Drosophila melanogaster: one gene and its partner. The protein of the gene in region 2 interacts with the protein of the main gene of each other region in a biochemical or structural test. Each region holds a gene or a part of one and is shown on either strand. Other genes may lie near its edges.

Evidence for each region.
Region 1: of the proteins of PK2-R1 (region 2) and Hug, one has a biochemical effect on the other in vitro, tested with the Drosophila melanogaster proteins (one study listed by BioGRID).

Annotation. Positions count from the first base shown.
Region 1 is NT_033777.3:12,524,233-12,529,583, reverse strand, and holds Hug (hugin), read right to left. Parts: upstream 3,397-5,351; 5' UTR 3,229-3,396; coding exon 3,145-3,228; intron 1,834-3,144; coding exon 1,554-1,833; intron 1,009-1,553; coding exon 797-1,008; 3' UTR 508-796; downstream 1-507. UniProt on the Drosophila melanogaster protein: Probably has a role in larval molting.
Region 2 is NT_033777.3:13,336,333-13,344,373, forward strand, and holds the start of PK2-R1 (pyrokinin 2 receptor 1), read left to right. Parts: upstream 1-1,997; 5' UTR 1,998-2,235; intron 2,236-3,626; 5' UTR 3,627-3,837; coding exon 3,838-4,315; intron 4,316-4,375; coding exon 4,376-4,541; intron 4,542-5,795; coding exon 5,796-5,928; intron 5,929-5,999; coding exon 6,000-6,198; intron 6,199-7,253; coding exon 7,254-7,477; intron 7,478-7,671; coding exon 7,672-8,041.

The DNA.
Region 1 (5,351 bases), 810 kb from region 2:
ATTTATGGAAGTAAAATAAAGAGGTAGTTACTTTTGATAAAAGCCTCAGAACATGGATACTTTAAATTAAAGTTCTCCACTGAAAAAGCATTCATAAAATGTTTCCGTTTCCGCATTCATTGCAAGCCCCGCACAATTTTCTATGCTTCATCAGGCCAAATAAAGCCAGAAGCTTTTGACCGGACCACAATTGTGGCACTGGGTTTTTGAAAGGGCGCGGCAAGGGAACCAAGATATTTTATCAGTCAAAATGCACACACATGGGCCAACTGCAAACGGCAGTTGCCATGGTCAACACTCATGGGCGATTTTGTGGCAACGGATGTTGGCCGCATTTTTCCAATTTACGCGCCCTACCATTGGTTATGAAATTCTCATAAATTTAACTGGAAAATGGCAATATAGTGTATAGTGGACATAGAACCCTAGGAAGCGCAGGTCGTTAATGAAATTGCCATGTTTATTTAATTCCCGGCTCATTTGGAATGTAAAATCAACGCTACTTTTGGGGGCTACACAATTTATTTAAATAAATAATAAATATATGTACGGTATATACACATCATTAGTTCCTCTCAAATCAGGGTTATAGCGCTAGTAACTAGTAGAGTAGTCATTCACTATGCATATATGTGGATTATTTTTGCGTCGCGTCGAATTCAGCTGGCCATTATGGCTTGGTTATGTTAACTCAAGGGCCAGTCGCCTGGCCTCAACCTTGTCCTGGGCTCGTCCTCCGTCCTCCATCCGCAGTCCGATTCCGTGCCGTGCCATGTCCTCGCGCCCTTGTCGTGACTCAATCGCCACCGCACACTTGAGCACGTTTGCCCAGGCGTGGCTTGAACGGCACCGATTTCTTAACCATGCGCTGCATGAACTGCCCGCCGATGGCCTCCTCGCCGCCCGCCATTCCCGTCGCCCCCTCCGCGTCCAGTAGTCGCCAGGAGTCAATGCTGCGGCCAAGGCGTGGCGTCCGCACGCGATAAGCGGGCTCCCCATTACTCTGCACTGTCCAAATGGAAATAGGGAGAGTATTTCATAATATATGTATAAGCATTTTGATAAGGAAAAAATGAATGCGAAATTTTCAAACAATTTTGTTCAAATGTATCCAACATTCTTTGGATAAGTAATAGTTTCCATGATTGAATAACATAAATGAATGAATGGTTAACTCAATTTGAAAAACATTGAACATTGCCTAAGTCACTGTGAAGGAATTTTTCTAGTAAAAATTGCAGATTTCTCGGACTTTTGTACGGTATTGTCATTACGTATGGAGATTGTTCTTTTTTTTCTGAATATAAAATATTCATTTAAATATGCCAATGTCTTGTGAAGTAAAGAAACGACATGCATATTAAATGAAAATAACATTTTCATATTATGTTTTTCTCTCTGCAAAAAATGAGGAAAAGCTTATGTATAAAGTATGCGAACATTATGGAGATGGTTGCGTGAAATGGGAACGTGATTCGGAAACCAATTAGAGCGACTTGCCCTCTTCATACATATATCCTTCACATTTCAGCAGGTGTCCATAGGCAACTTACGCTGTCGTAGCTTTTGAAGGAGCAGGTAATAGGTCAGTGGCGGCATGGTGTCCAAATCGAATTCCTGGCCCTGCGGCGGCATGGCAGCCACCTGCATGGTGGCACTGGCCTTCTGGGCCAGGCTATTCTCCTCCAGCTCGTCAATGATGTCTGTCAGCTCTTTGTAGTCGCCCATGGCGCGCTTTTGACGTGCCTCGCTCAACGCTGGTGAAGCTGGTGATAATGATCCTCTGGCAGAGCCGGCGCTGATGTGATTTCCCAAATCCAGTTTGCTCGTGCCCTGCACAAATAAAAAATGCCATAAAAGCAGGGGCCAAAAAAGCAGGCGAAAAAAGGAGCTAAATATTTGAGATATTTCCTTGGAGGATGTTGTTTTTTTTTACTGAGGGTTCCCACGCTGCCAAACTGTCGACACGTGTTAAGTTATTTTTATGCCGCCTATTTATGCTCATACTCGTACGTGAGCTGCACACACGCATAAAGGTCCTTCCAACCGACTTGCGGGTGTGCCTGTATGTGTGCGTGTGGGTGTCTATGGATGTGAGTGTGAATGTGCGAGTCAAGCACTTTATTGTTTCAATTTACACCCAGGCATGGAAGGCAGATCAGCGTGTGCCGCTTGATTAGACAACTCAATGTAGATTGAAATGCCAACACCTGAAATCGGCTTGTAAATCGCAATTCGCCAATAAACGCTCACTCTAAGCGGATGTCTGCGTGGGCGTATACTTGATATTAAACCTTCATTTGGCTCAGCATTTTCGAATACACTCAGCACAGTCGATATATTTTGCAATATTCTAAGCTGATATGAAAAAGAGCAATGTTGTAGCTGTCGTGAATTTATTGGTTATTTCTTTAGTTTCTTTTAGTTTCCCCGTTTAAATAAAAATATTATGAAACATATTCGTATAATATTCCCTGACAATAAACGAAAAAGAATAAGTTTGTAATTAAATAATTAATAATAGTTACAGTTTGAATTGTAATAACACTAAGCATTTTGTAATGTCCAGAATTTAATACAAAACACTTGCGGATTCGATATCAAACGATATAATTTACCTAAAACCAAATACAACACCACAAATTCCCAACCCAATGAACTATGCATAAACTTGATATAATTATGTCTTTTTGATTAATTAAGGCCTACTAGGTTTTATTACATCTGCACTGCCAAGCATGGAAAGTTATTTTAATTAGTGGTGCGAGAATAAGTTGCGCAACACGTATACGCAGTGTTGCTGCGATTGCAACCGAAATGTTAATTGGATGCCAATTGATTGCCTGCTGGCAGAAAAAAAAAATAGTTGCAGTATCTGCAAACTAATTGGTAGCACTTCAAATGCAGTTGACAGACGGGAAACGAGTGCGCCACATAATGCTGTAAGGCACACGTCAAAGTGAAAACTTTTCGCCCCAAAATTTCCGTTCCAAAAATCCAAGAATTTCAGCACTGGTTGAAAATTATCACGCTAAGCTGGCGAACTTGTGCCTGGGCAAATAACACTAATTAAGTGGCGCTTGTTTGGCCAACAAGCCACAGTACCAACACCACCACATTTTTCCCACTTTGCCCGAGACTCACCTGCAAGGACTTCGCATGACTGCAAACAAGGATGTAGCAGGAAGCCGCGATTAGCAGCAGTGTGCAATAACTAGGACCACACATAACTGGGCCAACTGTGTTCGCTGCTAGGTGTTTTCTGGCGTTTACGAGCGACTGACCTCCCAGGACAGGACAGGACACTCCGGAAGCGCTGGAACTATTAACTTAATAGTCGGACGATCGAATGGAACCGCGTTGCGCTTTGGGACTGCTTTGCGGGACAACTGATGCCAGCAGCGCGGCAGATAGCAAGTTATATAGCCAAATGCTAGCGGCCCCATGCGAGCCTGATTAGGTCCCTGATGGACGGGTGCTAAGTGATTTGTTATGCACTCTAATACCGGCCAAAAGGCAGCCCGCTGGTCAGCGTAAACAAGCGAATCAAGCGGCAAATCCCAAACGGAAGCGCCACCAATTTGTCGCCCACAGAGCAAGTGAAAAATAGGATTCAATGAGTGACTGGCATTCAAATTGGGAAGCTAATTGTAAAGTCTGCAGTGGGAAAAATTACAACAAAATCAAAAAATACATTTTAATACGAATTTTATATGGGCTTTACCTCAATTTCCGGGTTATCACTTTAGTCTGATGATATTTAAACTGACTGTTGCAGGTATTCGTTGATAAGCCACGAAATATTTTATTATAGCGGCTTAATAAACGAGCTAAATGCTTGCTTACTGATAAACCCACAGATGCAGATTTAAATATAAGTTGATAGGTTGTCAAAAGTATGACATAAATAAATTAAACCAAACCCTTTTATTATGACGTATATAAAAAGCTTCTGAATAATCATATAATTCATAATAATAATGGATATGGATTAAATGCCCTCTTAGCAATGGGACACAGGTATTCTCAAATTATTTTCTTTTAAGTGTATCCAGCGTAATCGTGGGGCATCCTGTTTAATGGAAATCTGAGCGCGTGTAAAGTCCATCACGCCCCTGATGGCGATGGCGATGGCATTAGGCCCAACACCCACCACAATGGGGGCAATGTCAATGCCGTTGACGCTGCCAATCGATCAATCTTATTTAAATGTTGACAGTTGTCTTCGCATTGTATCCTGTAGCTTGGGGCCTGTTTTTGCCTGTTTTGCCAGTTCTGCGGATGGGAAAAGGCTTGGGGGAACTCCACAGCTTCGCAGCTGGCTTATTTAAATGCCATCCGTGAGCCGCATTAGGTTCAATTTGCTGGGCAAACACATCTTGCACACCTGCGCTGGCAAGAAGCTTCTCCTTTGACTGACTGAGCTGTCAGCAGGCATTTAAAATCAGATTGTGAGCACTGCGATTGTCGGCTGCCAAGCGAGAATGGGTCAAGAAGGCTGGCAAATCAAATTTCTCATACGCCCCGGAAGACATAAGCTGCGCACACGTGGTCGGGCTTCAATAACAGTTGGCTGCAAATCACGAGAATTTTCAATTATCTAAACTTGGTCCCTGGTCAGACATCAACCATCCATCAATCGAGTGTTTTTCTGGATGCTGTCGTGATGGTCATTCGTGCAGCTGTTGCAGCTACTGGTCGAGTGTTTATTTGTGCCACTAATTTACACAAACATGACCCGGACACGACCCACACACAAACTCGACCTGGTGACCCCCAGCTGGCATTTATTTATTTACTAACTCTACGTACGTGGGACGACCTCTTTTCCAGCCAAGGCCCTGAAGGATTTATCTATTTGCCAACTGCTGAAAATGTATCCTTGACGGACGAAAAAAGAAAAAAAAAAAAATGGAACGAACAATGCCATAAAGTTGCGAAAAATGTAATTTGACAAACCCGTATCTGAGGGATTACCTTGCACTGTAGTTCTTCTCTTTCAATCTATCAACAGATTATATGTGTGAACTAATTGGACGGCCAACGCAAAGTTATATTTCGATGCATTGTTTCTTTTTATCCGACAGATATGTCGAAATGGAAAGTGACCTTGTTCAACGCGATTTTATAAAATAACTGATACAATGTGATATTTAATAAATTGAAGCATGAAATTAGAGCGCAATTTATTTCGTCAAATGTAAATTGTTTCGAAATCTATCTGACAAATTGTTCGTTCGTTAATTTCACGCCTGGGGCAGTTTGCCGCTACAATATTCACTGCCTGCAGGATGAAACCCAAATTACATAGGGCTTTCAACCAAATTAAATAGTTTCTGCCATTGAAAAAT
Region 2 (8,041 bases):
ACTTTGGCCAACGGGTTGTATGAGTAATGTGAGCTAAGCTGAGAGCGTGGGCTTTTAAGTATCAACTACTCGTAAATAGTATGTAAAGGGATATTTTGTCCCAATAGTTCAATGTTCTGTGCAAGTCAAGGCAAAAGGCCAAGGACTCTCGCGTTTAGTTTAATTGCAACTAATTAGCCACAACTGAAATTACATGACGCACTGAAAAGTGCTATAAGCCACATTCGCAGGGCCCTCATATTGGCATCGTTCAAACAAGCTACGGCGAGCTAATCAGTGACTCTAGTTGTGGCCAAAACATTATCATTGTCATCTTACCCACTGCAATCGTAAATCAAGGCCAGAACCCAAGAGCTTGGACCAACTGCTGTGCCCTCAAAACTGTGGTCGACCCTTTTCGATTAGTATCAAGTTTTCCTTTGTCTCTGGCCCTGTAGGTGGCCTACATGTGTGTCAAAAGACATTATGCTAATCAGCATCACCCGTAGGCCAATTGAATCGTTCAGATTCAGGGAAACACACTAACCACTGGGATAACATGGCGTATACGGTATACTTGTAAAGGTCAATAGGTAAAGCACTAATATTGATTATCCCTACGCTTTCATCATTTACTGTGGAGCTCATGAATAAGCCAGGAAATCGACTTTCAGATTGCGGACAGTGATTATTTGGGCCAACATTAATTTAACGCTCGTTTAATCGCATTTACGGCGGATCAAAGTGCGTGGAAACGTGAACTTTTTTGGTATCTTATTGCTGCACAGGACAAAAACAGAACTATGTTCGTCACATAAACACATTTATTTTCTATTAAAAATGTATTGCTTACAGCATATTAAAGTACATTTTACATTTTTTTATTACTTCTTATTGGGCACTTTTTAAATATATATACTCGTGTAAGAATTACAACATAAAATCTTCAAAGCCGCCCGCAGGAATTTCCTTTATATACACAGGCCTTTTAGCCAGTCTCGAAAAACCTGATTGTGGTCACGCTCCAGCAATTGTGCATATTTACCGCGACCAGACAACCATGCCAAATTGTACTGAAAACTCTACTGCCAGGCGTCTTCTCTTCCCACAAGATAAATATCTTTAAGGCCAGAACAACAGGCGGCTTTTACTGAAAGCGAGGCACACGGCGAACTGACACCAGAACGGCGGAGGATAATGAAAACAAATCCACAAATCTGCGGACAAGGGCCGACATTAATATGCGGTTCGGCATTCTGTTGGTCAGCGGGAAATCAGGCCTCATGTACTGCAAAACAAACACATTTATTTTCTTACTTTATGATGTACAAACGGCTTTGATTTCTCATTTGATTCTCTGACTCTGAGGTCGGAGAGAAAACAATTGCGACGGTCGCCTTTGGCAATAAGTATTAAAACTAAGTGCCAGTGCTTTTGGGCCATTTGCAATTTCAATTAGCCCGGCGCTACGAGCGATTCAATTGGTTCGACTGCCCCTTATGGCTGCGCTCTATTAAACCGGATGCCAGCGACATTACTCATCCGACAAGTAAGCCATAACTTACGGCGACTGAGAAGCAGACGGAGTCAAGGTGAAGTGCATGAATTTATGAATGAAATTAGGACCGAATGTTTGTGTCCCTCACACAGTCGCAGAAAGGCAGACAAACGCGGAGAGCCAGATGGCTAAGAACCGCTGTTAGTTAACATTTGGCTAACAGAAACCGTCGACAAGTGCCACGATTGCCGCAAGGCAACTCAGTCTTTCACGGACTTTCCTTCAAATCGGACGTGTGCGATTACGAAAAAATTATATTCGAACCAAACAGATCCGTGAAAGTGAAAAGAAATATAAAATATTATAAAATATATTAAATAGTGCACAAAAAATGTAAAACTTATTTTCTGCAGAAAATAATATTATAATGTATTTAAATGAATTCTTCAGTGGTTCAATAAAAGTCGCTCAAAACTCCCAAGCCATTTTCCACTGATTAAATATGTCTCAATGATTGGCTAGCAAAGTGCAAAACTAATTTTCCGTTCGGTGAATTCGTTTTATTGAAAGCACAAGGGTTAACAAATCCCCAGGCGGAAGTTCTTAAACGTTTCACAACAATACAAAAAAAAAGAAAAGGGGTAAAGAAACACACACCTTGTGCGACTCAAAAACGAATAAGGATACGAGTTGACAACAAAAAAGGAGACATTCGCGTAGCAAAAGAAAATACACTTTTGTTATTTAATCTAGCCTTGGTAAGAATCAACAATCATGTCGATGGCAATTTATTCAGGACCCAATCTGTTTGGTTCTCGGAATTTAAAAAACTCTCTTTCCCATTTAATAAAATTGCTTACCTTTGGCAAAGGCAAAGCTTAATTACAAAATGTTAAGGCATCGTCCGCATGGACAGCTGGGCAATGCAGCTAGATTGTGGTTTAAACTCATTCTCCAATCGAAATTGAATTGCAAACCCTAATATGGTCCGCGTGGCATTGCGTTGCCTGATTGGATTGTGTAGAAGCGATCGGAAGCGCACATTTGTACACAGACTCTGAATTAGCCAACGACTCCCAGTCCACCGACTCTGTGTCCAATCATATCTAAATCAACTTTTACACCTGAATTGGCAATTCAATTATTTTTCCAATTAGTTGGCGTCAACAAGATGTCGCTGTGATGCTGACCACTCAAGGTTCGTAGGCTCACTAATTGCGTAGCATACTTTCCGGGGCTTTTAAAACGACTATTCGCAAGAAACAACACTAAACGAACCGGAAACATTATTAATTAGACGTATCAACCAAATTTCTGGCTATAAGCCAATAATCCAACTTGGCACTAACAGTGACTTGGTGTTCCGTTACTTGGTCTTTGACTTCTTACCCCAGAATATGATTCTTGGCAGCAGGAGAAACCAGTACGACTTGTTTTGGTCGTATTATGAGTGAAATATTACCACTCATGTCATTTTGAACGTCTTTAAAGCTCACACCCTTATGGACCCATTATAAGAATATGGCGTGGCAAAATTTCCCATTTTTATCGAGGCTGGAAAAACTTTTCCACACATGCAATCATGTTTCGTTTCACTTATCATGGCTAAAACCTAGCAAATAGAAAAAGTTTTTTTTTATCCACAAACATATCTGTATTGAGTGCCAGCAATCTGTATTGCTTTAGCTTAAGATGTTTACTATTAATAGAGCCAAGTGGCAAATGACATACGGCTTACAGAGAAAATAATTTCCAATTCAATTACATTTACGTACATATATTCCTTCCTACAAGCAGACAGGATTATTGATCTAAATATAAATAAATATATAATAATTATTTTAATAATATAATATTAAAATGTAGATTAACAGAATATATTTTTTTTGTATGAAAGCCTCTAGGGTATTTGTGTGACTTTTTTCTCTCTGCATAAGTGAAGATGTTTACTATTAATAGAGCCAAGAGGCAAGAGAAAAGTGGCAGCAATCAAGTGCTTTTATTTCGGGACTGCATGTTAAAGGCGATTTCCTGATCGAAGACTTTGGATACCTGATGCCATCCGTCTGAATGTGACGTCAGCCTGGCTGGGGATTCAATTTAAATTCATCCTTGAGTCTAATGACTTTTAATGTTGTTTGCTTCACAGGCGAGTGCGCAATTTTTGGGCCTGTCGTCGACTGCTTATCGGCTATGTGCCACCGCAGCCGCAAAGGATACGACAGACAATATTAATAACGCATTGATACGAGTGGGCGGCCGATTTGCTTTTGTTTTTCTTTCCCAACTTGGCGGTGGAAAGGAGTGGTGTGGCGTGGCGTGGAGTGGATAGAGTCCACAATTAATCGACGACAGCTAGTATGTTGCAAGGCGTCGCCATCACCATAGCCAACGACAGCAACGATGATGGCATCAATCAATCATTCATGGCTCATGTGTCGCCCAGTCCCAATCAGAGTCCCTCCATTGGAGTGGGCATCGGTATCGCCTCATCCACAATGGCGAATCCCAGCGAGAGCCCCGAGATGTTGCTGCTGAAGAACGACAAATTCCTAACACATGTCGCCCATCTGCTGAACATAACGACCGAGAATCTTTCAAATCTCCTGGGTTCCACGAACGGCACAAATGCGAGCACAATGGCAGCGGATTCGCCGGTCGACGAGTCCCTGACCCTGCGAACAGCCCTCACCGTTTGTTATGCACTCATTTTTGTGGCCGGCGTGCTGGGTAATCTTATCACCTGCATTGTTATATCGCGAAATAACTTTATGCACACGGCCACCAATTTCTATTTGTTCAACCTGGCGGTTTCCGACTTAATACTGTTGGTCTCAGGTGAGATGGCATTTTTGAGGGACACCATTGCGTATGCGTAATGCGGCAAATATCCTGCAGGCATCCCCCAGGAGCTGTACAACCTTTGGTATCCGGATATGTATCCCTTCACGGACGCCATGTGCATCATGGGCAGTGTGCTCTCGGAAATGGCCGCCAATGCAACGGTTCTCACCATCACAGCATTCACTGTGGAGCGATATATAGCAATCTGTCATCCATTCCGGTGAGTTTTTAACATTTAAACGTTATATATATTTTAAATATTTATTTACATTATTAAACAAATGTATAATTTCTTCAGTGTTATTGCCTCGCTCTCATTAACAAAGTGGATCATGCATAATTAGGACAGAGAATATGAATAGATAAATTAAACTTGATAAGCGTCAGTCGGAAACATTATGATATGAAACAACAAAAGTACCTCACAAATTATGGGCACAATAATTATTCATAACTAAACAGTCTGGCTGTGGAATGATAAAACAAGTTAGGCTTGACAACCAAATTCCCATCGTTTTTAAATATACCAAATTCATTAGCTTTCATTTATAGACACTAATTAAAGTCAGGTCCATAAATGAACCAAGTTCATTACAGACTATGTAATTAAGTTCCAATAAATGCGTTGTAAAGATAGAAAGTTAGTTAGTCAATTAATTGCTTAGTACCAACATATTTGCATTTTTGGAATGGTACAACAAAACTTTTCCTTATACAGGTATCACCAGTTCCTTCCAAATGTTCTGACCATTTTGCGGTCAAAGAATACAACAGCTTCCTTAAGCGAAAGCGTCTGGTTTTCATTTACGATGTTGCATTTCCTTTAGTTCAGAAACTCTTGAATAGCTAGAAGAAATGAAACTTAAAAACCTTACATTGTTGTTTTCAAACACAATTTCCGTTTCTTAGCATTTTTCACAAATTAATTGTTACGAATACAATCACTTGGAGTATGTCCTTAAGAATATGCAGACACAAAAGGGTGGTTTTCTATAAGAAGGGATTCCAAGTCCGATTACAAAGTTAAGGCAAAAAACTTTCATGTCTCTGAAGTTGGGATTAAATATTGTTGTCGAAAAGAGTAAAAGGTTTCTATGTTTGCCATTTAATAGTATTATAGTTATTTTGAAACGAAAGGATATTCGGACATGTGCTTAGCATGAAAAAGGTCTGAAACCCATTGCAGTCACTTTACCAAAAGAAGTTAAAAGTGATGTCTATTAAATTTGGTATGAAACTGTTTGAATTCCTTCCCATTTACACCCACATTCAAAGTAAATATTTATGTTGCACTCAATATCCCAAACCTTAAAGAGAAAGTTAAAAAGCGTAAAAAGTGTAGGTGGTCACTGCGTGTACTTTACAACCGTAATATTTTCCATCTTATATCTGCCCACGTTTATCCGAAACATCGACATCATCTTGTCCTTAATACTTAACATATAATGTAGCCTAATCTTTCCGTCATTTGTAGGCAGCACACCATGTCAAAATTGTCGCGAGCCATTAAATTTATATTTGCCATTTGGCTGGCGGCCTTCCTTTTGGCCCTTCCGCAGGCCATGCAATTTTCGGTGGTCTACCAGAACGAAGGATACTCGTGCACGGTGGGTGGGACTGAAATGTGAAAACCAACTGACGCATCATCGAGTGTCCTTTTCGCTGTTTATTCCCTTAGATGGAAAACGACTTTTACGCCCATGTGTTCGCCGTTTCGGGATTTATTTTCTTCGGTGGACCCATGACGGCGATTTGTGTACTGTACGTGCTGATCGGAGTGAAACTGAAGAGGAGTCGACTGCTGCAATCGCTGCCGCGAAGGACTTTCGATGCGAATCGCGGCCTAAATGCCCAGGGACGAGTCATCAGAATGTTGGGTAGGTGAGTTAAGTTGGCGGCTTGATTGATTAAAGACAGCAATATGCCCCACCGCCAACCAGAAACAACAAGAACATCCACGGCTGTCAAAACTTTTTCCGCCGAAAGTCTTAAATTGAAAATTACTGTCAACGTATTTGCGTTGGCGAACATCAAACAGGGAATTCGTCATAGCCCCGCCCTCATTGCCTTCCGCCCACTTCATTTGCACTTGCGTCATGTGGGCTGAACGTGCTTCTGTTTTTTTCCCTCTTTTCCCTCAACGGTGTCGTTAATTTTTCGCAAACATCGGTGCGTATGTGTAAAGCTCTTAAATGGCCATCTAGCCTATGAAGCAAAGGTGAAGCCAGGTGTCACCTCAAAAGTAATCAAGCCGGGGCACTTAAATGAACTCAAGACTGCTGGGTGCACACAGCAAGCTTAAATATTTGTAAAAAGTGTTTCTTGAATCTATAGACATATGTCCGTTAACGTGCCACGTTATAAGCTGTTAAATTTTAAAGGAATTCAGCACACATCTCGTGTATTATTCACATATTTTATTTATATAATTAGAAATTCTTATCAAACCATACAGTGAATAAATTTAAGTGTAAATCCAGGCCCAATTTTAGATCCCAATAAGCCGTTTTTTCTTACAGCCTACGAAACAACGTTTAATTTACTGTTGCTTTTAACTGAAACACCGACCATTGATTTCGAAATTTACCATTGGCCCTGGCCTGCCAAATGGAAATTGATGGACCAATTCAGATTAAGCCCAGAGCCTTAACCATAAATTAATTTGGCCAGCAAGAGTGGAAAAAAAACACACCCGTTCTCAGGGCTTAGTTATTCATAGATAGTGGGATATTATTTATCGTTTGCTAAGAGGTAATACCTTGGCTTTTATCAAAATGTGATATTTTACCAAAGGCCCGTTTGCGCAAACTATTCGATTTCGGGGGATATAAAAGATTAAGACCACTTTCAGTGTGAGAGAGCCCCTTTTCCGGTGACCTAGTTGTTCAGGGGTCTTAATACGTTGCTTATCCTTACTTGACCGTATTTGCAGTAGCTGTAGCCGTCGCCTTCTTCCTCTGCTGGGCTCCATTCCACGCCCAGCGACTGATGGCAGTTTACGGACTGAATCTGATTAATATAGGCATCAGTCGGGACGCCTTCAACGATTACTTCCGGATACTTGATTACACGTCCGGGGTGCTCTACTTTCTCTCCACCTGCATCAATCCGCTACTGTACAACATCATGAGCCACAAGTTCCGCGAGGCCTTCAAGGTAAGCCCATGGGATCAACCCTTCTCAGTTAACCACTTCATAATAGTAATCTATTATTAATTGGGTCCTTCGCATGTTTGTGAGGACGGTCACAAATGCAGATGCTTTTAAAGTTAAATTTAAGCTTTAATTATTCAAAATTGTTTTTCGTAAATTAATGAATTGGTAATCTATGTATTTTTTACACTTTTAAGATCACTCTGACGCGACAGTTTGGTCTGGCCAGGAACCACCACCACCAGCAGAGTCAGCACCACCAGCACAACTACAGTGCCCTTCTCCGCCAGAATGGATCAATGCGTCTGCAGCCGGCCAGTTGCAGTGTAAACAACAACGCGCTGGAGCCATATGGATCCTACCGAGTGGTTCAGTTTCGTTGCCGGGATGCGAACCACCAATTGTCCCTGCAGGACAGCATTCGCACCACCACCACAACCACGACGATAAACAGCAACAGCATGGCAGCCGGAAATGGAGTTGGTGGTGGTGCTGGTGGCGGTGGCGGTGGGCGGCGTCTGCGGAAACAGGAGCTCTATGGGCCAGGTCCGGGTACAGCAGTTCCCC